Diceros bicornis minor: one gene and its partners. The protein of the gene in region 1 purifies or fractionates together with the protein of each later gene. This does not show direct contact. Links are inferred from orthologs where the notes say so. Each region holds a gene or a part of one and is shown in the gene's direction. Other genes may lie near its edges. The genes, in order: PLK1, ARHGAP5, PPP6R2 and FAM53C.

Evidence for each region.
Region 2: the proteins of PLK1 (region 1) and ARHGAP5 purify together in Homo sapiens (affinity purification with mass spectrometry; 3 studies listed by BioGRID and IntAct, counting the BioPlex papers as one, with this or other methods). This does not show direct contact. The link is inferred for Diceros bicornis minor from reciprocal best matches to the Homo sapiens genes PLK1 and ARHGAP5.
Region 3: the proteins of PLK1 (region 1) and PPP6R2 purify together in Homo sapiens (affinity purification with mass spectrometry; 7 studies listed by BioGRID and IntAct, counting the BioPlex papers as one, with this or other methods). This does not show direct contact. The link is inferred for Diceros bicornis minor from reciprocal best matches to the Homo sapiens genes PLK1 and PPP6R2.
Region 4: the proteins of PLK1 (region 1) and FAM53C purify together in Homo sapiens (affinity purification with mass spectrometry; 3 studies listed by BioGRID and IntAct, counting the BioPlex papers as one, with this or other methods). This does not show direct contact. The link is inferred for Diceros bicornis minor from reciprocal best matches to the Homo sapiens genes PLK1 and FAM53C.

What each region holds. Positions count from the first base shown.
Region 1 is NC_080765.1:28,067,790-28,074,823, reverse strand, and holds the start of PLK1 (serine/threonine-protein kinase PLK1), read left to right. Parts: upstream 1-4,033; 5' UTR 4,034-4,337; coding exon 4,338-4,745; intron 4,746-5,456; coding exon 5,457-5,625; intron 5,626-6,383; coding exon 6,384-6,528; intron 6,529-7,034. UniProt on the Homo sapiens protein: Serine/threonine-protein kinase that performs several important functions throughout M phase of the cell cycle, including the regulation of centrosome maturation and spindle assembly, the removal of cohesins from chromosome arms, the inactivation of anaphase-promoting complex/cyclosome (APC/C) inhibitors, and the regulation of mitotic exit and cytokinesis.
Region 2 is NC_080744.1:16,893,167-16,900,443, reverse strand, and holds the start of ARHGAP5 (rho GTPase-activating protein 5), read left to right. Parts: upstream 1-4,269; 5' UTR 4,270-4,330; intron 4,331-4,628; exon of another isoform or gene 4,629-4,716; intron 4,717-7,277. UniProt on the Homo sapiens protein: GTPase-activating protein for Rho family members.
Region 3 is NC_080764.1:452,137-459,583, reverse strand, and holds the start of PPP6R2 (serine/threonine-protein phosphatase 6 regulatory subunit 2), read left to right. Parts: upstream 1-4,447; 5' UTR 4,448-4,582; intron 4,583-7,447. UniProt on the Homo sapiens protein: Regulatory subunit of protein phosphatase 6 (PP6). May function as a scaffolding PP6 subunit. Involved in the PP6-mediated dephosphorylation of NFKBIE opposing its degradation in response to TNF-alpha.
Region 4 is NC_080740.1:56,907,279-56,914,826, forward strand, and holds the start of FAM53C (protein FAM53C), read left to right. Parts: upstream 1-4,528; 5' UTR 4,529-4,586; intron 4,587-4,971; exon of another isoform or gene 4,972-7,500; 5' UTR 7,501-7,548.

The sequences.
Region 1 (7,034 bases):
CAGCCTCCACAGGAGCTGTGCTGAACTGAAAGCAGAGACAGGCTCCATGAACAGGACTCAGACCCTGGGACCCCTGAAGATTTAGGACCCCTTCTGTGGAGCTCTCAATTATGGAAGCATACCTCGTGGATGCTGGCTGGACCATCTGGGTCACATACAAATGTCCACAGGAAAGGGCCTGTTCTCTGATGGGACCGTCTGATAGCAAGCTACTGATCAGCTCTTTATCTCTGATGCAGAGGCTAATTGCATCCTAACTTGTGATCCCCGTGGAAAGCTGCAGGCTGGGGGAGGGCAGTCACAGGGACTGTGACCCTCCGCCTGCTTTTGACAAATCAGACCTTCTGGGCCTTCTCTGGGGGACATCTCACCGCTGTTGACTTGTGTCTGGCTTTCTGGATTCATTGCAACTTGCCACAGTGGGCTGATAGCCTGACTCTGCCGCCTCACATTTCCCCCAGCACAGACACGAAGGTAAGGTAGGTTGATTATTCAAATGTAGCTGTCTCTAGAGAGGGCTTGATCTTTTCTAAGCTGCTCTCTGGATAAAAAGGGTAGGAGGTTCTGTAAACCCATTTTGAAATGTTTGAAAATTCAAAATTTCATCCTCTATTAGGCTGCTAGGGCTGCCATAACGAAATACCACAGACTGAGTGGCTTAAACAGTAGAAATTTATTTTCTCACAGTTCTGGAGGCCAGAAGTCCAATCAAGGTGTCACCAGAGTTGGTTTCTCCTGGGGCCTCTCTCACTGGCTTGCAGATGGTCGCCCCTCCGTCTGAGTAGTCTGTGTCCTAATCTCTTCTTATAAGGACACCAGTCATATTGGATTAGGGCCCACCCCAACGACCCCATTTTACCTTAATCACCTCTTTAAAAGCCCTGTCTCCAAATACAGTCACAGTCTGAGGTACTGGGGGTTAGGGCTTCAACATATGAATTTTGGGGGAACACAATTCAGCCCTTAACACATCCTGACCAATTCCTGAATGTGTCTTTCTGGTTACATTGTATAAAAATGTTTATCTACAGAAATACTTTTGTGCCTCTTGCATACAACCCTTCCAGATGAAAGGCCTGGATGAGAGTAAGAGGTGATGGAAAAAGTGTCAAGTTAGGATTGCTGATCAGTGGGGCACACTGATTTTGTATCAATGGAGAAAAAGTAAAAACTTGGCACCTGGGGAGCCTTGGGGAAGGGGGGGCATTTATGATCTGTTTTTCAGAACTCTTCCTGGAAGCTTTCCCCTCTTCCTGGGGGAAACGCCCAGTGCTGCCTCTGGGAGCATGCGCTGGGAGTGCTTTTGAGTTCAGAGTGTGGAGCCTGGGATCGCACCTGGCAGCTCTAACTGTGTGACAACAGAGGGGGCCCAGCTCCTGCCCTTGCCATGCGGAACTCCTTCAAGTGTTGTGCACCCTCATGAGGTGGATAGACTTGTATCATGGACAAGCAAATCTCTCTGGAATCAACTCTCTTCAGGCAGTCCCTCAGAAACCAAGGATTGCATGGATTTTTGGACTGGACTGGAAACTCGAGGGCAAGAGGCCCCATGGTAGGAGGCTACACTGGGGGCCCTGTTAACCCCTACTGCCTGACTAGTGTATGTCCCCCTTGGGGTACCCTAACACTGCAAACTCATTTCCAGGGGAACCACGTGTACCCTCTGGCATTGCACTTCTGTCTGTGTGCCCTGTCGCCACACTGCCTCTGCCCTGGAAGGTTTCAGGTCAGCTTGAATGTACCGGCCGCAGCTGTGCTGTACCTGATTGATGCCTTGGGTGAAAACGAGTCATACAGAAACTGAGGAGGAGACCACTTGGCTTTCTAAGATAGACTTCTATAGTTATTGGGATTTATTGTAGCTGGCTAAATCCAGGACCCTAACAGGTGTAACTGAGATCAGTACTGCAGGTTGGTCTCACCGTTTTGTGTGGGGTCCTACTGATCGTGATTTGCTGTAAAGAAGCATAGCCAAGGGCCAGGGGTGTGGACTGTACAGAGAAGAGGTGATCAAGCAGGCCTGAGACTGCTCTCCTTGGAAAGGTCTGTCTGCAAGGTTGGCCCCTGGCTGGCGACTGGAAGCTTGGATTTGGGGAGGGTTCTCACCATTCCCTGAATGATAAGCGTGGCTCACTGTGCCTAAACTGTTTGTGCAAACAATGTGGTTTATGCCAAATACCTGCTTTCCTTCTGGGAATCCGGAATTTGGTTGTGTGCTTGGCAGAGGGTGCCTGTGTGACCAGTCCCCAGTGAAAACCCTGGACACTGAGTCTCTAATGAGCTTCCCTGGTAGATAATATGTTGCATGTGTGGTCACAACTCATTGCTGGAGGAGTGAAGGGTGTCCTGTGTGAGTCCACTGGGAGAGGACTCTGGGAGCTTGTGCCTGGTTTCCTCTGGACGTGGCCCCATGCGCCTTTGCCCCCTGTGCTTGTGCTCCGTAGCCTGTAGCTGTAATGCGTCCTAGCTGGCCGTGAGTGGGACTAGATGCTGAGTCCTGTGAGTCTCCTAGTGAATCATGGAACTGGGCCCCCACGCAGGGAACAAGGGGACTTCTGGGGTGTTGGTAGTCTGGGTGCGCTGACACGGGGTGTGTTCAGTTTGTGAAAATTCACTGAGCTCTACAATTATGGTATGTACACTTTTTCTGTACACAGATTCAACTTCGATAAAAAGATAAAACAGGGGCCGGCCCGGTGGCGCAAGCGGTTGGGTGCGGCGCTCCGCTGCGGCGGCCCGGGGTTCGCTGGTTCGGATCCCGGGTGCGCACCGACGCACTGCTTTGGCAAGCCATGCTGTGGCGGCATCCCATATAAAGTGGAGGAGGATGGGCACGGATGTTAGCCCAGGGCCGTCCTCTTCAGCAAAAAAAGAGGAGGATTGGTGGATGTTAGCACAGGGCTGATCTCCTCACAAAAAAAAAAAAAAAAAAAAGATAAAACAGAAGATTACACACCACAGGGATAAAAAATACAAATGTAGTTAAAAAAACAACAACTTCCTTTTATTCAGCAGACATGTTCATTAACCCTTTTTACCAGGCATTGCGCTGGGAGCTTGGACGTGGGGAGGAAACATGTCCTTGCCTCTGTTTATTGGGAAGCAGGTAGAGACCTTTACGGTGTGGTTGGTTTCTGCTGGCTCTATCAAAGACATCACAAGGTGCGACGTATGGGGGCGCAGAGAAAGGGCTTCTATTTTGCCAGATAGGCAATGGGCAAAGGGGATAGCTGGGACCTGAGGCACACTGGGGAGGTATGTAGGCGGAGAGTTGCCAGAGCCTCTAGTTTTTTCAGGAAAAGCTACAAGTCTGAATTTTTATGTGAACCCCCTTGATTTCTAAGTGTTGTGAATGAATCCAAATTTTAAAAAGTGGGAAGCCTGACAAAACACCCCTGCAGGACAGATTTGGCCCTGGACTTCCCCTTTGCCAGGCATTCTGCCCCCTAGCCATCCTCCCTCTGAGCAAACAATTGAGGGTCCACATTTTCAGGCACTGGGGAATACAGCAGTGAGCAAGCCAGACGACTCACTTTCTTGCATAGTGGGGGGCTCTCCTACTGTGCTTCTCAAACTGCCGTGTGTGTGGGAATCACCTGGGCAGCCCCGTGGAAAGGCAGATTCTGACTGGGCAGGTCTGCGGTAAGGCCTGAAATTCCGCCTTTCTAACAAGCTCCCAGGTGGCGGTGATGCTGGTGGTCCCTGGAACCTCCTCTGAGCAGCGTTGCTCTGCAACCCAGAGAGGCTCAGGAGCAGCTGTCATGTGAAGGAGGGGAGTAGCAGGCTTGCAGTGCAGGTGCATTTGCCCGGCAAGCATCCTGGTTTTACTTAGATTTTACTTTATTGGAGTGACTTGGAAGAGAGCTGATGACATCGGAGGCGGGTGCTAAGGCTCTCCCAAGCTCGCTCTCGGCGCTACCAGGTCTCCCTTCTCCGAGTTTATATTCCAGAAGGCGGGGTGGGGCTGGAGGGAGGTGTTGGGAAAAGCTTCCTGGAGGCGGTGCATGTGAACTGCAAGTTGTCTCCTCTCCTCGGCCTGGGGCTCGGCTTCCCCACGCCGGGTACTGTTTCCCAGGCATCCCACGTGTCTGCCGTCCGCGAGCGCCTGTCAATCAAGTGTTTTTCCCCGGCTGGGAACGGGTTTAAAGGCGGCTGCGGTGTAGAGCGCTCCCATAGTGCCGCGCGGCGGGCGGGTTTGGATTTTAAATCCCCGCGGCCAATCAGTGGCGCGCAGGCTCCTGTAACGTTCCCGGCGCCGCGTTTGAATTCGAGGAGGAGCGCAGCGGTGCCAAGCATTTGCCCAGACCCTACTAGGTCCGCGGAGCAACTCGGGGAACATGAGTGCGGCGGCAACTGCAGGGAAGCTGGCGCGGGCACCAGCCGACCCAGGGAAAGCCGGGGTCCCCGGCGCTGCGGCTCCCGGGGCCCCGGCGGCCGCCCCGCCGGCGAAAGAGATCCCGGAGGTCCTAGTGGACCCGCGCAGTCGCCGGCGCTATCTGCGGGGACGCTTTCTGGGGAAAGGCGGCTTTGCCAAGTGCTTCGAGATCTCGGACGCGGACACTAAGGATGTGTTCGCGGGCAAGATCGTGCCTAAGTCGCTGCTGCTCAAGCCACACCAGAAAGAGAAGATGTCCATGGAGATATCCATTCACCGCAGCCTCGCCCACCAGCACATCGTGGGCTTCCACGGCTTTTTCGAGGACAGCGACTTCGTGTTCGTGGTGTTGGAGCTCTGCCGCCGGAGAGTGAGTGTCGCTCCTGGGAGACCGGAGCTGCCTGGGGGCCGGGGTTGGGGCGCCCGGGGCCCGGAGCTGCTGGAGTGGCGGTGCTGGGAACCTCGAGCTAGGGATGGAAAAGGTCTCGGGTAGAGGGTGCTGGGCACTCAGAGCTGCTGGGGGCGGGGAGGGTGGAGGCGAGGTCCGGTTAAGTGGAGCCCGAGTCCTGTTTCTGCTAGGGAAGGCGGCTCCTGGACCCTAGGTGTGCGGCAGAGGGGTGGGGGTGGGGGCGGCGCGGGCCGGGGTAGGACCCTGGTAATGGACCCCGGGCTTCCGGAGTTGCTAAGGGAGGAGTCCCGGGTAAGGGGTGCTGTGGACCCGGAGCTTCCGGAGTGGGGTTGGGTCAGGCAGAGGGTGGTTGGAGCCAGACCTCGGAGCTTCCGGGGAAGAGGGGTCGGGAAAGGGATCTGCTGCTGCCAAGAGGCCGGGGGAGGGGATATTGAGAACGCTGAGCTTCCGGAGTGGGGCTGGGAGAGGAGTCCCAGGTGAGGGGCTTGAGAGGGAGCTAGTAGGAGAGGGGGTGCTATGAACGATGGTGGCCAGGATTAGGGGAGGGCCCAGATCGCAGTTGTCCTGGAGAAGGAATTGGGGGAATGTCCTAGCTGTCTTTACCTAATGACACCCCGTCTCCCCTCGGGCCTCAGTACCGACTCCGCATTCCTCCTCTCCTCCCCCGCCCAGTCTCTCCTGGAGCTGCACAAGCGGAGGAAAGCCCTGACTGAGCCCGAGGCCCGCTACTACCTGCGGCAGATCGTCCTTGGCTGCCAGTACCTGCACCGCAACCGGGTTATTCACCGGGACCTCAAGCTGGGCAACCTCTTCCTGAACGAGGATCTGGAGGTGAAAATAGGTGAGGTGTTGGGCCTGCACGGGTGCTTGACACCACTAGGAGAAGTGGGAATGAGGAGGAGGCCGGGAGGGAGGAAATAGGAAGGAGAGGACGGAGGAGGTAGAGGGTGGTGGAAAGTCTGAGCTGTTGATTGCCTCTGGAGTCCTCTCTGTAGGGCGGACATTTAAAACAAAGAGCTCACAAGCCAGTATCTTGCCTGCAGATGCATGATTTTGTGCCCCTACACGGTATTTTTTTTAAAAGGATTTGAATTAGTTTCCATTTTTTAAATTAGTCTTGACATAAAACCTTGGATTTGGAGTTCCTTTTAAACAACTGGAAGCTCCAGCAATACAGGGCCAACATTCCCTCAGGGCAGCTCTTTGCTGGGCTGAAAAGCAGCTGTTCCCTTTAGACTCCCTCTGGTTTGCCACAGTCCCCACTCCTCCCTATTACTTCCTCACAAACTTGCCAGATAACAGTCTTGAAGTTTACTTGCTTGATCCCTGAAGGCGTCTGAGTTCTGCTATCCCCATCAAGTCCCTTTTAGAAGCCTAGCCCTCCTTTCTAAGGTCAGGGGTGAGGAGGGTCACTGGGAGGCCCTTCCCTGGGGCCAGCATGGTGGGGGGATTCCTGGGCAAGCCTTGCTGTGCACAAGGAATAGAGGCTTGAGGGTTCAAGCGACCCTGGTTCTTGATGGTCAGACCTGAACCAGATGTCTGCACTGACAGATGACAGAGGCTAGCATCTGATACCCCCTCTTGCTTCCTCTGTCTCAGGGGATTTTGGACTGGCAACCAAAGTGGAATATGACGGGGAGCGGAAGAAGACCCTGTGTGGGACTCCTAATTACATAGCTCCTGAGGTGCTGAGCAAGAAAGGGCACAGTTTCGAGGTGGACGTGTGGTCCATTGGGTGCATCATGTAAGTTGGGGGTTGTCTCAGGACCCACTCGGCCCTTTTGGACATCTCACCTGGCTGACCTTAGCCTGTGGACCTTTCTGCCTAGGGAAAGGCTGCTCCAGAGGACAGGCTGCCCAAAAATAAAGCCTAATTTCCATTTCTTTCCTTGTCACTGGCCTATCCTATAGGATTCCTGCAGCCTGGGCCATGGGTCCGGGGAAGGGGGAGGGAAGGTCTCCTCAAACTTGCTCTAGCCCCGGGCTACTCATAGTGTGGTCCCCAGACCAGCAGCATCATCCCCTGGGAACTTGTTAGAAATGCAGAATCTCGGGACCCGGACTACTGGATCACAATCTGGATTTCAAAATATCTCTGGTTCATTCTTGTACACGATAAATTTTAGAACCCCTGGTCTAGAAAGCAGCATTGGGTGGCAGGAATTAGGCTGGGAGTTACGGCCGGCAGCAGGAGGTGTCTGTGGTCTGTGGATGGAGGCCATCAGAGGGCGTGGGTGGTGGGCATAGGCT
Region 2 (7,277 bases), on another chromosome or scaffold:
GATGGCCCAACAATACCTCCTTTTGTGAGAGGAAATAACTTGAAGATTTTTGTCTAATTAAAGTATTTGTGCTGGTGGGACCTGAATGAATTGTTATTCCTTTAAAAGGAGTCTGCATTACAAATAATCTTTATAAAATACTAATTATTCAAAAATAGAAGAGTTCTGCTTTCACTATTTTAATAGTGTCCTAGGACCAGAGCGGCATGAACATGACATTTTGAAGCTAGACTCTGATAGCATCTTTGGGATTTCAGTCTGAAAATACAGTTCTGGAAAATCAACAGAACAAGGCTCTGTGGAACAAAATGCCAGGAAGGTCAATGCATTACTATCCTACTGCTCCAGTCCCATGCTCACAATTACCTTCACTCTTGTCAAAATATTTTCTACAGTAACAGCCAAGACATAATTAGCACTTTTTCTTCATGCTGAAAATATCATTGGTAGCCATAAAACACATTTGGAGAAAGCTTTTCAGCACCCTAACTCAGCAAATGGCTACCATGGTTATTAGTGCATCATGATTTGCCTACAAGTGGGAGTAACAACCCATCTCACTCTGCCTTCCCTCCTCCCAATAGGCCTAACTGTATGAGATTGGGAGAAAGAGGCAAGTCTAGGCAGGAGGTGGGGGTTAGGTGGGGGTGGAAATGAGTTGTGAAATTCAATAGGAAATTAGACAATAAATAATCTTTTTGTGCTTTGGTCATTTAGTTATTTGCCTTCATTATTCCTCAACTTCTTTGTGTATTTTGTCTGCAATCAAGGTGATATTCTGAGGTAGTTTGTTCTCCAAAAGTCTGCCTTATATCAGATGGGCAAAAAGTATTGGTCAATTTTCTCCTTAATTGAAAGGCCCTTTGTTTGGCTTTTCATATGTTCTTGGTTGAGGCTACAAAAGCCAAAGTGGTTATGATCAGAGATTTCCAGCAGGGGGTGTAGCCGCTTCTATAGGGTAAGTTCTTTTGAAGCCAAATCACATCAAACATCTGAATATTGTAGTGTTAACGACTGATGGTAGAAGCTGGAATTTTGATAACATTTTTTGTGGCTATCCTCTCTTTTGACCCTAAAAAGACCATGCATATTAATACTTTATTAGGACGTGTTAAAGAACTAGAAGTTTGTAGAGAATATTTAAATTAAAAACCTAAAATGCCTGACTGAAATTTTATTCTGCTATTTTTTTCAAAGTAAATGAAGAACAAAGCTTCGGGTGATTTTAATTATCCAGTACAGCAGAAAAAGTGCTTAAATTTTTTATTTTAGATAAGAAGAGTAGTTGATCTGAGAGGGCTTGGTAATATTTACTCCATCTCTCGTGTGTGTGCGCGCGCGCGTGTGCATGTAAAGAATAAATTACTTATTTTCTCAAAATTTCTTCTTTTGGGTAGGGAGGGTGGGTGTTTAAAGCTGTTTCTTTGAAGGCATGGCTCCCGATCAATTGTTAAAAATGCCATCTTATGCTTTGGGTTTTGTTTTATTTTCTGCTCTTTATTGCTTTTTTTGTGAGGAAGATTGGCCCTGAGCTAACATCCACGCCAATCCTCCTCTTTTTTGCTGAGGAAGACTGGCCCTGGGCTAACATTCATGCCCATCTTCCTCCACTTTATATGGGACGCCGCCACAGCATGGCTTGACAAGCGGTGCATCGGTGCCGGGCCGCCGCAGCAGAGCGCCCCCACTTAACCGCTTGTGCCACCGGGCTGGCCCCTCTTTATTGCTTCTTATTTGTAGATATCAGAGCATTTTCAACCATCTGAGCATTTGGCCCCCAATTCCCATTTTCAGATTTTTATTTGTACAGAAAACTGTATGATTTTTTGAGAAGAGCAAGTAACAAAAAATGATAAAAATTTGTTAACTTATTTGTACTGGTAAGCAGCTTTAGACTATTCATATTAACAAAGAGCAAAGTCCTAAGGTTCTAGACCCCTTAAATCAAGATAGATGATGTAGGCGGGCTAAAAATAACGTCAGCTATGAAAATTATCATTTGAAAACTGTGGCTTTTTTTTTTTTTTACATTTTCTGTTGTCTTTATTATGAGAAAATGAGACTCCAAGTAGTATCGTGTCTTGATTCTTCAATATCACGTCCTGTTTTAAAGATGACACGTTCTTCAGATGTTAATGTGTCCTTTAAAAGTCCTGATTTATTTGACTTTGGTTTATGTTGATGCATGCTCATGGTTATGAAATTTCTGATTATTTAGGAAATAATTTTTAAAGTATCTTTAGGGTAGACACCCTAAAGTTATGACTGAATTGGCTGCTTGTATTTTTAAGGACTTTTAGTACAAAGGTCAAGAAGTTCATTTAAATGCATGAACTCTCCAACCTATACAAGCGATATAGGTACTTATGACTTTATGACCACACTTTGATGGTTCCACCCCTCTCCCCAATTTCCTCCTCTCCTTTTTTCCTTTCCTCCCCTCTATATTTACTATCATTGCAAGTTTTCTTAGAGTCCTTCTTTGCCTATGGTTTGTAAGTGAAAGAAAGATGCACCTACAGATGTTACTCAACCTATACAGTATTTGGTACCATTCAGATGCAAGAGAGTGGCTGGAGTAAGGAATTTTAGTCATGCCTTTTTAAAATTAGGGAGTAAGACATATAGAGAAATTAATCATGTCTCTTCTGCTTCTATTAAGTTTACCTTTGAGAAATATGGAGAGTAGAGAGTAGGGGTGTGGAACAAACAAACAGAACTTCTGCTGGAATATTGTAACAGATTTACTGACAAATATTTTCCAACGGATTTTTACCAAAAGGCAGTTTTTGTTCTTCTTTACTAACAGACTGTAACTGTACTTCTGGTTGGCAGCAGCTGCATCATTATAACACTAAAAAGCAACCTTGGCTAATATCATTACCTTATGTAACATACGAAATAAAGAATAACTTGAATTTCAAAGACTTTTTATATGTTAACTTTACTGATGACGAACTGTTTTCAATGCAGGCAACAAACCTTGCCGGGAAGAGAAATTCTCCCTCAAATTACTTCCTCCTTTTAGACTTAGCAACGAATGGGGGTAGATTTATGTTTTTGCCCATTCTTTCATCTGCTGGCAACTATTTTAAGACATCTGTGTAAGACAGATTCTGATGACCTTGGGAAAGTCACAAGACCTCAGTTTCTTCAATGGTAAAAGGAAAGGCATTTTTCTACTGTCCTTTCTTGCTCATCAATGCCAATGCCCAGACAAGAAATACACGGAAAGCCCAGGGTACCCCCAAACTTGTGAGATTTCTAGAAGGCTCAAAAAATACTCAATATATTTAAAGCCGCATAATAAAAACCAGGTGGCTGGTGGTTCCTCAGGTTGGGCTGGTAGTGGTGTGAGCAGGGGTCTTTGGGGTCACCCTAAAACCCTCCCCAAGTCTTGGCATCTCGTTCAACTTCCCTAAGAACGGATAAACCAGGGCCTGCCTGCGTCCCTGCGTGGTGTCGACGGAGAAATGGATTCTTCTTGCTCCCATGGAGTTTTGCCTTCTGGGTGCGCATGGCTCCGGCTCCCGGGCGGGTGATGCCTGTGGCTGGCGAGCATCCCCACGCAGGACACTGGCCGCACACACCGGAGCACACACGCGAGCATGTCCCTGCGAACGAGCTTGGGCGCATGGTTTCCTCCCTTGAATTCTTTAACGCTGAGACCGTGGGGTGATTTTTCGAGAATCAGTGAGTGCCCCTGCGATGTTTCGCAACGCCTAACACAATACATATCAGGTTCCTTTGCAGTTTTGTGGTTTGCTCTCAGTTACGGCCAGAAACCGGAACCGAAGGAGAGGGAGAAATCAGGGAATGCTCGCAGACGGCCGTGCTCTGGGCTGCACGGTCTGCAGCCTCTAAGGCGTGGAGGATGGGACGGAGGAGGAGCAGACCACGGAGAAAGGAGAAAGCTGAGGAAAAATACTCACGCCAATGGGTAAAAGGGAAAAGGTGAGAAGGACTGGAGTAGGAGAGGGAACCAATGGGTGGGAGAGGCGGAGGAAGAAGGGGGAGGGGCAGAAGCCAATCGGTGAGGCGGCCCGACTGCGAGACCGCGGGCCCGCGCGCTCGCTCCCCTCCCTCCGGCTCGGGCGCTCGCGCCTTCCCAGGCTCCCGGGAGACGAGGGCAGGGGCGGGGCCCAGCCGGGCGCGCGGCGCGGGAGGCGTCGCGAGGTGAGGGCGGCGGGGGCGGGGGATTGTGGGGAGGGCGGCGCGGGCGCGCGCGCGCGCGCCCCCGTCGAGACTGCCCCGCCGCTCCGCCCCCGGCCGGGTGTGTGGCTGCGCGCGCGCGTGCGTCCCGGCGGTGCGCGCCGGGAGAGATGCTGAGGTAAAGTTCGGGAGAGAGGGAGAGAGATCCGTCAGCCGAGGGAGCCCGAGTGGCCGCCATTACTGAGCCCGGCGCGGCGGCGGGCGCTGGGGAAGGGGGGGAGGGTCGGGGCCACCGCTGGTGGTGGGGAGGGAGGGGGGAGGTTGGGTGACCCGGCCGCGGGAGCCGTAGGGCTTGAGGTTTCGGGGCGTGTGTGTCGGGGAGGGCGGGGGGAGGTGGCCGAAGGGACGCGGCGCTCGGTGAGCGCGCCGGGGAAGAGGCGAGCCGAGAGTGGAGGAGGAGGCGGCGGCGGCGGGAGCGCTCCCCAGGAATGTCGCTGCCGCCGCCACCGCCACCACCGGGGCCGCTGCCGTTGAGGAGGAGACGGAGGAGACCGGCGGTGTTAGGTAGGACCGTGCGCCCGCAGCTCCTCGGGGCCTGCCCGCCCGCCCCCTCCCCGCTGGGGACCCTCCCGCCGCCCCGCTCGGGCGCCGCCGCCGGTTGTAACCAGTTCAGGGCTGGGGCCCCGCCGCCGCCGCCGGGGGAGCCTGGCGCCGCGCTCCGTCCTCGCAGGCCGGGCGGGCAGCGGCGGCCGCGGGGGACACGGTCGGCGTGAAGGGCAGAGAGGCCGGGGAGAGGGCGCTCTCCCCACAGGTGACGGGGTCGGGGGCGGCGGAGGCCTGGCGGCCGGGACCGCTCTCGCCCTGGTGGCGGGCGGTACGTGGGGAAGGACGGTGGCGGTGTCCGTTGGCCGGGTGGCCGCCGTTAACGAGTTCCACCTGGCGGGGGGAGAAGGGGTGGGCGCCTCCCCGCGGAAACACGATCTGGGTTGCAAACTTAAGCGCCTTTCGGCGGATCGGCCCTTTCACTCTCCCCCCGTTGCCCCGCGCCTCCCTCGTTCCCTTCAGTTTCCCATCTGCCGCTGCAGCTCGGGTAGGGGTGAGAAGTTGCACTGCGCAACCCCGACGCGGAGTCCTGTCGGCGGCCTGCGCCTGGGCTGGGGCTTTGATATGGAGTTTTCGCTGGAATAACCTCTAGGTTCTCCCTGTTTCCACTAAAGAAAAGTATCGGGGTGGGGGTGGGGGTGGGGGTGGGGAACGGCGCGGGAGCGCGCGCGCACTTATCCACACAAATCCACTCACTCCCTCGCCCCCGCCCTCCCCGGCGTTATTAGAAATGCAGGGGAGGTGGAGGCTCCGGGTGTAGTCGAGGCTGGAAGGTGCTCGGAAGTCAGGGCGAGCGAGGAGGACGTTTAGTAAAATTCCGAGAAAGTTGCAGGGGAGACGCTTAGACTTTTACCATATGATAGAAATCCAGCTTGGGCCCATGCTTAATAAATGGGAATTTAAATGTTTTAAATGTAGACCAAAATAGGCACGCAGATGGTGTGTACGCGCGTTTTTAAGTTTAAATTTCCAAAGATGATTTGCTTTTTCTTTTGCGATAGGGAGGAAACGATATCATTCAGAAAAAATGTTCAGGTGTAAAACAGTGAAATACGTCGCTGTATTTACTAGTCTTTGCTTATGCTGCCTTCTACAGGTGTTGGGCCCGGGAGGGGTGGGGGGCTTATGCAGGCTCCGCTTAAAACAAATCCAAAACCAACGTTCGGTTTGAACAGGGTAGTGGAGGGTGTTTCTTTGCATTGAGAATCTCATTCACTTCAGGGAATATTTCTCTAAGTCGTCATTTAAACTGGTTAACAAAAATTTGATGTAGATGCAACTATTCTGAAAAATATTTGGTCAAATAAGATATATTAGTAAAATGTGTTTGGAGATGCTTTACTGTCAATTCCAGTTTATTTTACTTTAATATGATAAAACTCTATTCTTATTTAGTATTTTTAGATATACATACTGACCATATCGGTAACCTACTAGACAGTTTCTAGATTAAGGTTTTCCATTTTAAGTTGCCTTCTCGTTTTTGGCTCTTTCATCTGTTCTTTGTAATTGACCCACATTTCTTGTACCTATAGTAGAGCAGAGGAAGAGAGTGAATGAGTGCTGGTCACCAACAATTTGAGTAGGCCTTGGAGTACTTTATGACTAAACATACATGATTGAAAAGCTGAGTGTATCTATGCATTTAACTTTCAGGAAATAGCACTATTGATCTGATTGAGGTAAAGCAGAAATTAGAACGATACAGAGGACTAGCTAACAGTTGATTTGGTTGTCACGTGTAGGCTATGTTTTTTAACCCCCCCTCAGCGTGTCTTATTTTACCATTCTTTGTTCATTAATTATAAGAGCATTGGGGAATGGGGTGGGTTACACTTTGATATAAGAAAGAATTGTCACAGAATTATGATATGTTTATTAGTTTTTAGCACACCCCCCATTTAAATTAGTTTAGCAATTTTAAAAAAATGCAAAATTAGTATCTTAACTCTGTTACATGGTATTTATCTAAATATTTTGAAACCATCCTTCCTGCCTATTCCTTTTTTTTCTGAGTGGTAGATTTAGTACATTTACTCTTTTGGAGAAAATAAATTATTTTGACCTTGAAAGTTAAGATTTTTTTAGGGAATAAAATACTGTATTTGCATTCCTTTTTTGGAATTGAGGTTGTGATATAGCTTAGAATACTAGTTTTGTAACTCACTTTTTTAAATTGAAGAAAAAGTTATGTCTCATGAAGACTGTACTAAACTTTCACTTTTTCAACGTTAGCAAGACTTAAGTGTTGCTTTTAGTATTGACTTCTTAAATATGAAATGGCGTGATAGAGATTTTCTTGGTAGCTACAGAATAAGATTTAATTGTCACTACTTCAGTTTCCATAGATGACATTTTAAAAACTATTTATTTGGGCTGTAAGATCCATGATTTTTTCTTTGTACACCAAGAAGATATGGAAATAATGTAATTGACTTAAGAAGCATCGTGTAGTGTTCTGTTTTAGTAGAGTCTTTGTTCCTAAAAGATGTTTGTAAAATACCTTAAGTACACCAGGGGAA
Region 3 (7,447 bases), on another chromosome or scaffold:
TATTGTGTGGGGGGTCCTTATGACTGGGTCACCCCAGAGTTTTTCACTCTCAGCATTGCGCACTCTGAGCCTCCAGAAATTCATCAAATACAGTTCAGGGAACCCAGCTGGCACAGGTTCCCCTGGCAGTTCCTGCCTGTGAATCTTTGCTTGGTAAGCCTGGTGACTTGTATCCACCTGTTTGTTTCTCCAATCTTGGGAGCAGTGGTTTGCCCAGTGTCCTCTCTTCTCTTACAAATCCAAGAACAGTTGCTGATTTTTCAATCTGTTCAGCATTTTAGTTCTTAGGATGGAGTGGTGATGCCCAAGCTCCTTACATGTGGAATTCTACAATGTAGAATTGAAATGGTGAAAGCAGACATCCTTGCCTCGTTCACATCTTTGTGGAAAAGCATTAAATCTTTCACCATTAAGTTCAATGTTAGTATAGATTTTTCCTAGATATCTTTTATGAAATTGAGGAATTTCCCATCTTTTCCTACTTTATTGAGAGTACTTATCATAAATAGGTATTAAATTTAGCCACATGCCTTTTCTGCAACTATCAGACAAATCCAGTGGTTTTTATCCTCTACTCTATTAATATAGTGTATTACATTAATTCTGTTTTGGATGCTAAAAAAACTTTGCATTCCTGGGATAAACCCCATTGGTCTCAATAGATGATCCTTTTTACATGTTGCTGAATATGGTTCTTCATTCATTCCTGTTGATTTGAGTGAACATCTGATGTGATTTCATTTCAGCTTGAAGAAATCTCTTTAGTATTTGTGGCAAGGCAGATCTGCTGGCAATGAATCTTCTGTTTTGTTTATCTGGGAATATTTTTATCTCACCTTCATTTTTGAAGGATAGTATTGCTGGGTGTAGAAGTTTTCATTGACAGGTTTTATTTTTCCTTCAGCCATTTTACTGCCTTATGGACTCCATTGTCTTGATGAGACGTCAGCTATTAATTGTACCATTGTCCCCTTTATGTGATGGGTCATTTTTCTCCTGCTACTTTTGTGGTTTTCTTTCTGTCTCTGACACGCTGCGCTGTGGTTATGGTGTCTATGGGTGTGGATTTCTCTGTGTTTGTCCTACTTGGGTTCACAGAGTGGTGGTCTTTGGATGCCCTGTCCTGTGTCTTGCTGCACTGTGGGGTTCTTGAGAAGACCAGGACAGAGCCACAGTTCCTCCTGCTCTGACGGCACTCCAGAGGCAGCACTCATTTTACATCACAGTTTCACTTTTTCCAATTTATTGGTCAATAATTTTGCATTTGGGGTTCTTAGTGATAGAATTTATTTTACTTAGTCCTTCTGTGTCAGAAATACTGAATTCAGCTTGTTCTAACTGTTCTGTGTACACTAGAAGAGAGTTTAGAAGAGAAATCTGTTAAAAAGCCACATGTATCAACTACATCTTGTGACCAATTACAGAAACATAGGTTGTAGCAGTTTTGCGCATTTTCTCTTTGCATGTTATAGTGTGTGTTTATTTGTATATATGCACCATTTTCTTCTCTCTGCTTTCCATTTTTTTTAAATATACAAGTTGTCAGAGGTTAACTTTCCTATTTAGTTTTAACATAAGAGCATAAGAGAATATTCAGTGGAACAGTGACAGAATTTGAGGGGTAATTAATGTAGCCAATGATAGATTCAATGACTGATGGGACTGTGAATATGCTGCCTTTGGGGAAAGAGTGAGAATTTCTTCACTTGCAATAAGGATGGATGTATCGTGTTAGGTGAAAATATAGCATTGTTTTCTTATAGTATGGAAGTTCAAATATGTTTGAAAGGATGCGTACAGAAGCTGACTACCCAGAGAGTCAAACTCTGCCTGTTTTCCACTGATTGCCTCAGATCCAAATCCACTTCTCTTTACCTGCACTGTGATAATGGAGCTGGATCCTGTAAGCATTTCTCTTTTGCAGTTGGCACAATGTTAAGCTTTGCCAGTACAGAGTGCCGGAGGGTCACTGCTGGAAGAAGGGACTTCTGGTTTCGATGTGCATCCTTTCTCTTCTTGTTCCTACTGCACAGCTGTCAGAGTCACATGTGGAAGACATGCAGCGGTGCCACCTCTCTGGATGGTTTCTCACTGAGTTTCAGCAGCACCCCCATGGGTGGATTCCCAGTGAGTCTTGCAGACACTTCAGCAGGAAGTTTTCCAGGCTTAGCCAGCATGCACCTTGGAGGGGTGTATTCCTGCCCATTAGTCTCTGCTCAGGGACTATGGATCAGCTGTGTCCTGGGACACCCCAGAGAATGTCTATGTCGACCGCTGGGCTGCAGCCACACAACTCTCCAACACAGAATGAACTCCCACCTTGGGGAGGGGACCACCTTCCAACTTTTGTCCTTTCTTGAATCTAGAGTTCTCTTTACTCCTTTACAATTAATCCCTTGTTCTCAATAATTTCTATATGAAAATTCCTCTGTTGAAGACATTGTGTGGTTTCTATCCCCTTATTGGACCATGATTATTGATACAACAAGGAAAAACCAAGCAGGGAAGGGGACTATGAAGTTTGCATGTGTGCATGCATGTTTGCACATGTGCATGCACACGTGTGTGTGTGCATGCATGAATGTAGGCTTCAGATTTGAAATAGGGAGGCCAGGAAGCTCTCACTGAGAAGGGGGCAGTGGAGTAAGATTCAGGAGGCAGGTCAGTAAGTGCGGCCATAACTAGAGGAAGAGCATGACAGACGCAGGGACAGCATGGGCAAGTGGCTTGTGACAAGGTTATCATGACTGGAGCCAACAAACAAGGGACAGAGGAGGGGAAATGAGATCAGATCACATGGGACCTTGTAAGTAGTAGCAAGGACTTTGGCTTTGCGCTGTGTGAGACGGGAGCCCTGGGGGAGGGATGTGATCCAACTTTTTTCCACTGGATCCCTCTGGGTGCTATGCTGGTTACAGCAAGCTGGCCTACAGCAAGTAGCCAGGGTAGAAGCAGGGAGCCCCGTTGGGAGGCTGCTGTTGTGTCAGGTGAGAGAAACTGGTCTTGGATCAGGGCGCGGTGGTGGAGAGCTGGCTATATTTAGAAGTGGAGGGACTTGCTGATGAATCCAGTGTGGGGGATGAGAGGAGGAGTGGGGCCCCAGCTGACCCCAGGCACTCTGGCCGGAGCACAGGAAGAGCATCAAGATCAGGCAGAGGGTTGCAGGCGCTCACACAGCGGCACAACCAGTGGGAACATCTCCCGCACAGGACCCCTGGCCCTGAGCCCCCATTCTGCAGCTCAACCACGGCACCCCCAGCTTCTGTGGGGAGGGGCCTTCGATTGCAGGGCTTGCAGGACATTCCTCTTCTCGGTTTAAGGCTGATGCTTTTTTACCACCACTTCCTGGAAGTTCACACTATAGAACTTGCCAGAAATCTGCCTTGCAGCATACCAGGGAAAGGTGTTTAGGGAGAGATGCCTCACCAGAGACATTCTGCTATAAAGCTGCCCAAGGGAGAGCTGGGGAAGCTGCAGGAGCTGGATGCAGGGAAGGAAGACGGGCAAACTGCAGAGCGAGGCCCGGAACACACCCTTCCTCCCGCGACGCCTCTCCTGCGCCCCCTACCGACACAGTTGAGCACAGGCGAGCCCAGACCCGTTTTCGCAGAGCGCCGCGGTGCACCGGCAGCTGAGAGGCAACAAGTTGCTACCTAGCACAAGTATTAGGTATTTCTTAAGTGCTCGACTTCTCTTTCCAACATTTTCCCACGGTTCACGCTGACACCTGAAATAATTCTCATTTTAGAGATTAGTTTGATTGAATTAAACAATTCCAACAAATGTTAAATGGGCACATATTTTAATGTGCAAAACACTGCAAGAACCTGCGGGGCACCTGGAAAACACAAGTCTGGGGGCTGCTGCTCAGGCGCCCCCAGGCCAGTTAGGAAGCAGGAGTGGAGGGGGACCTCCGCTTGGCACACGGGGGCTGACCACTGTTCACTCTTGCCCACCGTGTCCACGCCGCGAGCCCAAGTAGCTTCGGAGACACCCAGCTGCGCCAGGGGGAGGGTCTTCAGGCGGAGAGGAAGGCCCCAGAGAACCGGGAGACCCCTGCCCCGGTGTGGCATCCTCAAATCCTTTCGGGTCTCTGGAGGGGCCGTTCTGTGACTGACGTAGCATTGGAAACTTTACTACTGCAAACGCATCATCCTACAGAAAGTTAATTACGCTTGTGTAGAAACTCAGCAACACCTCAGACGGAAAAGGAGAGGGACAAAACCACACCGCGCCCCACTCCGCCCTCCGGCGGCCCACGCCCTCGCGCTCCCGCCGCCGGGCGCGTCCACGTGAGCGCGCGCCCCCGCGCCCCCCGCGAACGAGCGCGCCCCCGCGATGCCCCGCCCCCCACGCGCGTGCGCCCGGCCGCCGCCGCCATTTTGGAGAGACCCGAGCGCCGCCCGCGGCCCTAGCTGATCTCGAGCTGCCGGCCGGCCCGCGCCGTGTCCGTGGGCGCCGCGCCCGGCCGGGCCCATGTGCGTGCGGGGCGCCCCAGGCCGCCCGGGCTTCGCCTCCGCCAGCGCCCTGGCCCCCACCGGGGCCTCCGAGGAGCCGCCGCGTCGCCGGGCCCGCGGGGCAGGTGAGTGAGGCCGCCCGCCGCGGCTCCTCAAACCGTGCCCGCGCCTGTCGGTGCCCCCGGAGTGTGCACCCCAGAGCCCACCCCTCCGTCAGTGCCCCCCTCAGTGCCCACCCCCTTAGTGTCCGCCCCCCACCAGAGTCCGCCCCAACTCAGTATCCGCCCCCCACCAGTGTCCACCCCCCGCAGTGCCCACTCCCCCTCAGTGTCCACCTCCCCAGTGCCCACTCCCCCTCAGTGTCCAACCCCCACGAGTGTCCACCCCCCACCAGTGTCCACTTCCCCATCAGTGTCCACCCCCACGAGTGTCTGCCCCCCCCAGCGTCCACTCCCCGTGCCCACTGCCCCTCAGTGTCCAACCCCCACGAGTGTCCACCCCCACCAGTGTCCACTCCCCCGTCAGTGCCCACCACCCACGAGTGTCCGCCCCTTATCAGTGTCCACCCCCACCAGTGTCCACCCCCACCGGTGTCTGCCCCCACCAGTGCCCAGCACCCTCAGTGTCCACCAGCCACCAGTGTCCACCCCTGCTCAGTGTCTGCCCTCTGTCAGTGCCCCCACCCGTCAGTGCCCGCCCCCTCAGTGTCCACCCTTCCTCAGTGTCCACCCCCCTCAGTGCCCACCCCTTCAGTGCCCACTCCCTCAGTGCCCACCCCCCCCACCAGCATCCACCCCCACCAGTGCCCATCTCCCTCTGTGTCCACCCCCCACCAGTGTCCACCCCACTCAGTGTCCACCCCCACCAATGTCCACCCCTCACCAGTGTCCACCCCCACTCTGTGTCCACCCCTCACCAGTGTCCACACCCCCTCTGTGTCCACCCCCCACCAGTGTCCACCCCATCAGTGCCCACCCTGTCAGTGCCCCCTTCCCCTCAGTGTCCATCCCCTGTCAGTGTCCATGCCATCAGCGCCCCCCCGTCAGTGTCCACCCCGTCACCGCTCCGCCTTGTCAGCGCCCCCCCGTCCGTGTCCACCCCATCAGCGCTCTGCCCCGTCAGCGCCCCCCGTTAGTGTCCATGCCGTCAGCGCCCCCCCATCCCTGTCCACCCCCTCAGCGCCCACCCGTCTGTGTCCACCCCGTCAGTGCCCCCTGTCAGTGTCCGCCCCATCAGTGCCCCCCGTCAGTGTCTGCCCCGTCAGTGCCCCCCCGTCAGTGTCCGCCCCGTCATTGTCCCCCCATCAGTGTCCACCCTGTCAGTGCCCTCTCGTCCGTGTCCACCCCCTCAGTACCCTCCCCGTCAGTGTCCGCCCCGTCTGTGTCCGCCCCATCTGTGTCCCCCCGTCATTGTCCGCCCCGTCAGTGCCCCCTCGTCCGTGTCCACCCCCTCAGTGCCCCCTTGTCAGTGTCTGCCCCGTCAGTGCCCCCCCGTCAGTCTCCGCCCCGTCATTGTCCCCCCATCAGTGTCCACCTCGTCAGTGCCCTCTCGTCCGTGTCCACCCCCTCAGTACCCTCCCCGTCAGTGTCCGCCCCGTCTGTGTCCCCCCGTCATTGTCCGCCCCGTCAGTGCCCCCTCGTCCGTGTCCACCCCCTCAGTGCCCCCTTGTCAGTGTCTGCCCCGTCAGTGCCCCCCTGTCAGTGTCCGCCCCGTCAGTGTGCCTCCGTCAGTGTCCGCCCCGTCAGTGGCCCCCTGTCCGTGTCCACCCCCTCAGTACCCTCCCCGTTAGTGTCCGCCCCCTCAGTGCCCCCCCATCAGCGTCCGCCCCATCAGTGCCCTCCTCCTCAGTGTCCCACGTGTTAGTGCTGCCCCCCTGTCCCCCCAAGGCAGTGTCCGCCCCATCAATGTCCACCCCATCCGTGTCCCACGTGTTAGTGCTGCCCCCGTGTCCCCCAAGGTAGTGTCCACCCCCTCCCCCACCTCCTCCCAGTCAAGTGTTTCCCACATTAGTGACCCCCTAAGTGCCGTCCTTCCTATCAGTGTCACATGTGTCAGTGCCCCTCCTCCCTGTCCAGTCCTCCCTCCTCTCTGTCAGTAACCCTCACTCTCAGTGCCCTCCCTGTTAATGTCCCTCCTCCCCCCTGTGCTGCCAGGTCCCCATGTCGTTGTCCACCCTGTCTGTCCACCCATCGGTTCCCCCCCCTTGCCCGTCGAGGTCCCCCATCAGTCCTCCCTAGCCTGTCAGTGTCACCATCCCCCTCCTCGCTGCCTCCTCCCTCACCCCTGTCTGTTAGGGGCCCTGCCCGTCAGTGCTCTGACCCACCCGTCAGTGCTCTGACCCACCCGTCAGTGCTCTGTCCCACCCGTCAGTGCTGCCGGCTCCTGCCGGTGGGGTGTAGGACACTCCCTCCGCAGGGCCTCCTGCCATCACTCCCTTGTCCACTCACTGACTGCTGTTCCTATCCCCATTCTGTCACCTTCCCCCGTGCACCTTCTTGGCCCCTTTGAATGCCCCCCACCTGTCGCTGTGACGTCTTCCGCACACCCCCACCTGCCACCTTTGTGTCCTTGCAGCCTACCTGCCTTGTCCACCCACTTGTTACTGACCACTACCATTTGCCACAGATCCCCTGTCCTCTCACCACCAGCTCACCCAGTCTGTCACTTGCGCTTAGTTCCTGCCTCTCACCGCCCCCCCTCCCCCATTTTGTCACTGTACCCACCTGCCTTGTCCTTGTGGCCTTCTCTAGCCTGTTACTCTCACCTTGCCAGTCACTTCCCCCATGGCTTCTCCCTGCCACGCCCTTGGCCTTTTAGTGCCTGGACCATCACTGACACTCTCAGCCTTTCACCTCTTCTCCATGTCCCTTCCTTTCTGATTTCTCTTCCCTTTTGGTTCTTCTAACTCTCATGTTAGCTGAGCTCTGGAGGGCAAGAAGCAGCTAGCTATGAGAAGAATGAGGGGTCAGAGCCTTCCAGGCTGAGGGGAC
Region 4 (7,548 bases), on another chromosome or scaffold:
TATTTGAAATTTTCTGTAATAAAAAATGTTTAAAATAACCTTGGAAGCTCTTTAAAATGCAGACCCTCAAAATTATGATTCAACGGGTCTAGAGTGGGGCCTAGGAATTATCAAGGCCCCCAGGGGCTACTCATGCAGATGGCTTGCAGATCAAATTTTAAGAAACAAATTAGAAGTGCAACCTTTATCTTTGAGAAACAGAAAATCAGAAATACAACCTTTATTTGGTGTCAGGATCTTGGTGGTGGTAGTGGCTGAGAGGTGCAGTGTAGTCAGCTGGGTTTTACCCTTTTCATCTGTGGAATTTGCTTCCTGAGAAAGAAGGGGTGTGAAGAATCTTTGTCCTCTGGGATAGAGATGGTGAATGTGGGAATCAGCACAGATCCCTGCCATGCCAGGTGAGTTCGAAAATCAGGCTGGGGATTAAGGGAGTGTGGGATGAGTTGGCTTCTGTTTTGATGATTATAATCACACTCCATGGGGTCACTGTATACTTCCTTGCAGGTGGGAGGTAGAGACAGATGAAATCGTCCTACAACGGCGGCAAAAGCAGATAGATTATGGCAAGTGGACACCTGGTTACCAGTGCTTTCTGCAGCAGGTCCTCAAGTGAGTGCAGTTGTGAGTGGTCACAACAAGAGCATCAACCAAGCAGCTTTGGTTCAATGTCAGGTGATGGAAAGATACTAGAATCTGAGTGCTCTCACAAAGTTGCAGCATTACTAATACGAATTATCCTGCTGGGCCGGCCGTGTGGCTTAGCGGTTAAGTGTACACGCTCCACTACTGGCAGCCCAGGTTCGGGTCCCGGGCGCGCACCGACGCACCGCTTCTCCGGCCATGCTGAGGCCACGTGCCACATACAGCAACTAGAAGGATGTGCAACTATGACATACAACTATCTACTGGGGCTATGGGGAAAAAAAGGAGGAGGATTGGCAATAGATGTTAGCTCAGAGCTGGTCTTCCTTAGCAAAAAGAGGAGGATTAGCATGGATGCTAGCTTAGGGCTGATCTTCCTCACAAAAAAATAATAAAACTAATTCTCCTGCAATTTAGCCCCCAAAATAAGTTTCCAAGATTTTTTCAAATAGAAGAAGCCATATACTTGGCCCTTAAGACTTTTTAAAGCTTTATCCATGTTTGCTAATGAAGTTTTTTCCTTCTAACCATTTTTATCTCACGCCGCCAGCTGACTTGGCTAACTGCAACATATTTGCCTAATTACATGTAAGTTTACATGCATACCTTCAAACTAAATATATGAAAAGGTAGAATGCATTTTAAAGGGATATCAAATACTGTCTTATATATCTATCTTGACTTCTGAGGGAGTTGGAATATCTAATTTATCCTTCCCAGAAGAAAGAATATTAGGGAATTAGGAAGTTTGGTGTTTAATATGATCTGAAGATTTGGTTTTTCTGTTGGATTGATGGCATTGATCCTACCTCATTCTCAAGGAATTCCCTAACGAGTCTCCTGATTCATTGTGATGAAGCAGTGTGTTGTGCCCCTTCACCTTGACCTCAGTCTAACACATATTTGTCATTGCCAGAGCACAGTGACAGCCAGGACTTCACCCTCAAATGCCAAACAAGAACAGGAGGTACAGCTGTTGCTCTTGGGATGCCCAGATCAGGCAGTGGAGAAGAGCCCTACATTCCTGGGACCCCCCTAGCCAGCCTCTGCAGGGAGGGAGGCTGAGGGGTGTGTGCATTATTCCTGGTTCCTTCTGTGAGTGGTGGACTGAGCCCTACCTCTCCCCACTTTGCAGACGTTTAGCTTTCACTGGTTGAAAAGGGAGTCTGAAGGAGGTGTGTGTTCCTCTGACTCTGCTGCCTTCCTAGGCAGGGAATGGAGAGTCTCTTAAATGGATTTCACTCCTTTGGATGACCTCCTGGATGACTGGCTTCAGACTCTGGAACCCTCAGAGAATCTTGATGGAGACCAGAAGGGAGCCCAGGTAGTGTCCTCTGCTGAAACCCATTGGAGCAGCATCAGAGCGGGGTCTGGCCCATGAGGACACAATTAAGATGTGGTTCAAGGTAGTAGCCCAAGGGCCGGCCCCACGGCTTAGCGGTTAAGTGCGTGCGCTCCGCTGCTGGCGGCCCGGGTTCGGATCCCGGGCGTGCACTGACACACCACTTCTCTGGCCATGCTGAGGCTGCGTCCCACATACAGCAACTAGAAGGATGTGCAGCTATGACATACAACTATCTACTGGGGCTTTGCGGGGGGGGGGGGGGGAAGGTAGTAGCCCAAGAACAAAAGAAGGAAAATGGGGCAGCAGGAACAAATAGCTAGGACATGAGTAAGAAAAGCCTTGAGAACTAAAAGTGGCATAAGGAGATTTAATTATAGTTAGTAATGGGGAGGAGGTTGGGCTGCACTGGGGGCTATTTTATACTTGGTGAAAGGGGTGTAATCTTCCTTTGAAATGAGGCCTGAAACCTGACTTGCAGGTTTGGTTAAGTGTCTCAGTTTCTTTCAATGTTTTGCAAATAAGCCAATGCTAACTTCTTATACTCAATCATTTAACTTTAGTAGGCATGGTTAATAATAAAAAGGGGGATCACCTTGCAGTGAAGACCAACAGCTTTAGAGCCTGACTGCTGTTTTTTTTTTAATTTATTTTATTGATGTCTTAATAGTTTATACCTGTGAAATTTTGGTTGTATATTTTTGTTTGTTGATCACCATATACATGTCTCCCTTCACCCCTTGTGCCCACCCCCTACTCCCATTGCCCCTGGTAACCACAATACAGTTTTCTCTGTCCATGTGTTGGTTTATATTCCACATATGAGTGAGATCATACGGTGTTTGTCTTTCAGAGCCTCAGACTGCTTTTTAATACTACCTTTGTCCACCACATGGGCAGTCACTTAACCTCTCCAGCTATTTCATCTGTCAAATAAGGAGATTTTGTCTCATTTGATGATTCTAAGCAAAAATGAGCATATATATTTAAAGTATGTAGCACGGTGCCTGGCACATAAATGCTCCACAACAGCAGTTATTGGAAGCCATGTCTCCTGTACTTCATGCCCCCCCCCCCCTCCTTCTTTTGCTAAAGGGCAATGTGCAGGGCAAAGAAATGTGCAGTGCATCTTCCCTCCATCCCCATTTTCTTCATAACTACCTCACTTTCCCTCTACTCTTCTTTTTCAGTTTGCAGACTTGGTGGCTCCTGGCTCTGTGAGGAAGATTCCCACCACTGGCTCTACTTTCTAGCTGATCAGTTACTTATCTGTACCAGACTTGAAAGGGGAACAAAATATTTAGGGAAAACAGATGTCTTTCAGGGGACTTGTTGCTAAGTGTAATAGTGAAGATTACTTGCATTACTGCTACTTTCCAAACGATTAAAAAAGAAATCTAAAACTCTGCCCTACAAAGAGATCACAACACGAAGGCATTGTTTAAAACCTCTCCTTTTTCCATCTTTTTGCCCGTCTTTCTAAACCTTCTTTGATAGCTGAGACTCAAGTTTACATAAGAGCCAGAAACCATCTAGCTGTTCCCCAACCTGTTCACCTACTAACTTCTTCAGTCTCTTCAAAAAGGACTTAAACTCTGGCTGAGGTGGGAGGTGATGGTAGTAGTGGAGATTTAATAAAAGGTGGTTTCTTCTTCCTGAAGAGGAAATATAGGGCCATCAACATCTTTTCCCCATCTGCCTGTTTCATCCCTCCCTTTCTGTCTTAACGAAAGAGGTCCAGCTGTAACCACCGTATTCCTCCCGCCCCGCCCCCCCACGCAAGCAACTGAACCGCCTATGATGTCATAATCACAATCCCATTACCTCATCCTGCTGGGCAGGGGGGTTGGGGTGCGTAGAGGGAGGAGGAGTGAACAGCCCTGGGCCCTCCTCAGCTTTACAAAGTGTTTTGGGTGAAGGCTAATTACAGAACCCAGTGGGAAAGGCCCCGCAACCGTTATGAATCCTGCGTTTATAAGGTTCCAGCCGATCCGGCAGCTAGAAGACGGGCTCCTGGGACTCTGAGCAGGCCTTAATGGGCGCTTGGACTACACTTCCCAGAAGCCTTCACGCCGCGGACAGGTCCTCTGCTAGGGGTAGGGGGATTCCTTTAGAGAGGCGGCCGTACAGGGTGGGACAGGAGAGCAGTGAGAGGAACCTTGGCTAATTCTATCATGCTACCCGAACCGAGCAGGGGGCTGTACTTTGGCCCACGTAGGAATGGAGGGCGGGGGCGATGGCTTTGTTTACCTTCGTCCGACACGGCTCCCCCCGCGGGTTTCGAGACATGTCTCCAACTGGGCCCGTCCACCTTCTGCAATATTTTGGAGGGGGTGACTCGATAGTGAGGAAACCACCCTCGTCCCTAAATCAAAGAGCTGGGCTTGTTCCCCACAGCGCTATCCAAGAAAGACTTTGAGACAGAAACGACGCGGGGCTCGAGCCTCCGCGGGCGGTTCGGGGGGATTCTGTGTACCGGAGAGACTGCCTCACTCTCCTGAGGGGCCCGTTGGTTCGCGCCAGCGCCTTTTAAGGGCACCGTGGGGCGAACGGAGCGCTCAGAGCTGCTCTGGCCGCGGCCCTGGGAGCTGGAGGAGCCGCGGTAGGTGGCGGAGGGCAGGTGGCGCTGGGGCCTCGGGGCGGGCACCTCAACCGTCCCTCCCTCCTTCCCCCTTTCCCCTCCCCCAGCCCGGCCGCCCGCGCGGCACGGCCTCGCAGGCCGCCTCCGCGGGGAGAGCACGGGACCCGGTGGGGGAGGGGGTGGCGGAGTGCTAAGTCCCGGACCCTCTTCATCGCCGGCGTCCTGAGTTCGCTTCCCGCGGCCAGATGATGAAAGCTGATTGGGAAGAGGCGAGCGACAGCCTCATTGAGCGAGCCCTAGCCCGCCCCCCCCCCCCCGCCCCAGGGGCCAGCGGACGCCCCATGCCCCACCCCGCGGGGACAGGCAGGGCAGCCGAGGGTGAGGTTGAAGATTGGAGGGGGGCCTAGCCTTTTGCTTCTTCATCGAGATGGGGGGAGGGAGTGCTCCCCACTTGTCACCCCTATCCCGGCCAGAGCCATATGGAGGAAGAGCAGTCAGGTCCCCACTTACCTGTTCCTGCACCTCCCTGCCTCCCTCATGTTTTCCTTAAGTCTCCCCCAGAGGTGTGGGGCTGGGACCTGCGGGGAATGTCCCCAGGGGATTTGTGACTCTCCTCCCCCTTGGCCTGACTTGATCCTAGGTTCTCCAGCTTTCAGCACAGCCTCAGCATCCCTAAAACCCGAATGTCAGGAGTTACTGCCATCCAATAGGATATGGGGTGGGAGCCCAATATTTATTTTAGGGGGCTAATGGTGGAGAGAAAACCTGGATTGAAAGTTGGGCCTGGTGGGGTTTTGGGGAGGGCCTAGCGGCCTGCTGCTCTATGAAGGGCTGAGCCCGGTGCCAGTTGTTGAGCTGAGAAGTTTTAACTTTTTAGTGAATGTTCAGGGCCGTTTCTGCCCCTCAGATATACAAAATGGAAGGGGAAGGAAGGCGGCAAGAGAGGGCTTCTTACACTTTTTTCTATGCTTGCCTGAGAAAGAGGAGGCCCCTCGCGGAGCTGGTTTGCCTTCTTTTGTGTCCTGGTTTGATTCCTTATGGCTTCCGTTCTGTTCCCCCTCTCAGCCTGGCCTGTTTTAGGAAACTCAGGCTGAGAGTATGAGTTGTGTGGTGGTAGTTGTATTGTTCCAGTTACCACCGTGTGTGGCCACATCCCAACAATTAAAATGCAGAAAAATACAAAATCACTCTCTTCACTTGATCCCAGAGAGAGCTGGGAGTTTGCTGTTTGGCCAAATGCCTCATGAACAGCTTGAAAGAATTTGCTTCACTCCCTGCTCATGGCTGGTCAGCCTGAGGCCTAGGGTCTCCGGGGTAAAAGCCTGCAGTTAGGTTCCCTCTCTGGTTGCTCTTTGAGGGCAGAGTTAAGAAACCAAGAGCAGAAGTGATATAAGGTTTAGCTTCTCCCACAGGGACATAGGGGAAGCAGTTGAAGGGAGCTCTCAGGAAGCTGGAACTTGGTTCAGGGTGGTAATAATAATTATGCGTGACAATGGTAGTTAACTGTAATGATGATTGACTTTTCTCACACCTTTTTTCAAAAAAACTCCAAGTACCTCCACGTGTATTTCTTTGCTCTTCCTTATGGCCTGCCTCCCCATGAGGTGGGAATGGGGCAGAGATGATCCCTCCTTTTTGCAAAAGTAGAAAGTGATCTGCCCCCAAGGTCACAGAAGAGCCTTTTTGGGTCTCTCTTGGTATGCAGATCAGGGAGGTGGGCATCTAGCCAAATAGATAAACTTGGACTGCCTTCTTCATCTTAATGATAGCATCACTTGTGGCATTCTGAGGCTTTGTAGAGCAACAAACAGGAGGGTTGAGAAATGGCAGTTTGTGTGGACTCCTGATTTGTACAGATCAGATGGTATGCTTTTTACATTTTGATATTTTATGTTTTATTGTCCCTGTGACAGATTATTCTGCCCATTCTACATATGGGTAAACAGGTCAAGAAAGGTTAAATGATTTGACAAAACTGTCACAGCAAATCCGATCAAGATTTAGGTTTCTTGATAGATTGTTCTCTCTACTAGCAAATGCTACATACACTCTCTGGTGAGCTGTCTGCTTGCTGATCATTGCCAATTTCTGGGAATTGGCAATACTATATCGAAACACTAGGTTAACCTCTCCTCCTCCCTTGAGCATGGCCCCTCAAGCAATTGTGTGGGCTTGAAGCCTGTTCTCTGATAGAAGTAGTTTGCTTCTACTGTAATTGACTGTGAGAAAGAGTCTTGATTAATTGTATCCATGGTCTTTGAGTCAGATCAGGCTAAAAACTTAGTTGAGTGAAGTCATAGAGTTGTTTTTAACATCTATGGAGTTGAAATGTAACTGGAATTACCCTGGTACCATTTCCTTATCCTCTCACCATTTTTAAGAGAATATATACAGTATCTCTTGAAAACAATAATATATCAACTGTTCAGGCTAACAGAGAACATAAAACCTTGTTTACTCTGATTGGTCTGAAGCTGAAAGTCATTCCTACAACCACTGCTCCTCCCTGTTCCCTATTACTATTTCTGTAGTTTAGGAAAAAGGTACCTCTGTTTGCTTGTGCCTGGAAGATAAAGACAATATTGGGCTAATCAGGATAGAAGTAACCATTTGGGCATCCCTCTCTCTCATTTGAGCTGTTTTTGAAGTGCTGGTATTCTGGGTAGACAGAGCAGAGCATGAACCAGGTTAGGAGCAGCAAATAGGTTTCAACTTGCTTGCCAACTCCAGTTCATTTTAGTGGTTATCTGGAGTGCCAAGTTCAGAATGTTTCTGAAGCTATGTTTAGGCTTAGCAGGAGAGAGCTGTGATCAATTAATGATGTCTGCCGGAGGCCTGGCATAGGGATGCTGTGGTATGTATGCCATGCATTTTCCATCTCTGGACCAGGTACATCTCTAATATCACTTGGGGCTGGTCCCTCTGTAATTGGCAGACTCAGCAGGCATGACTGGAGAGGGAAGTCCCAATGGTGCTAGAATGG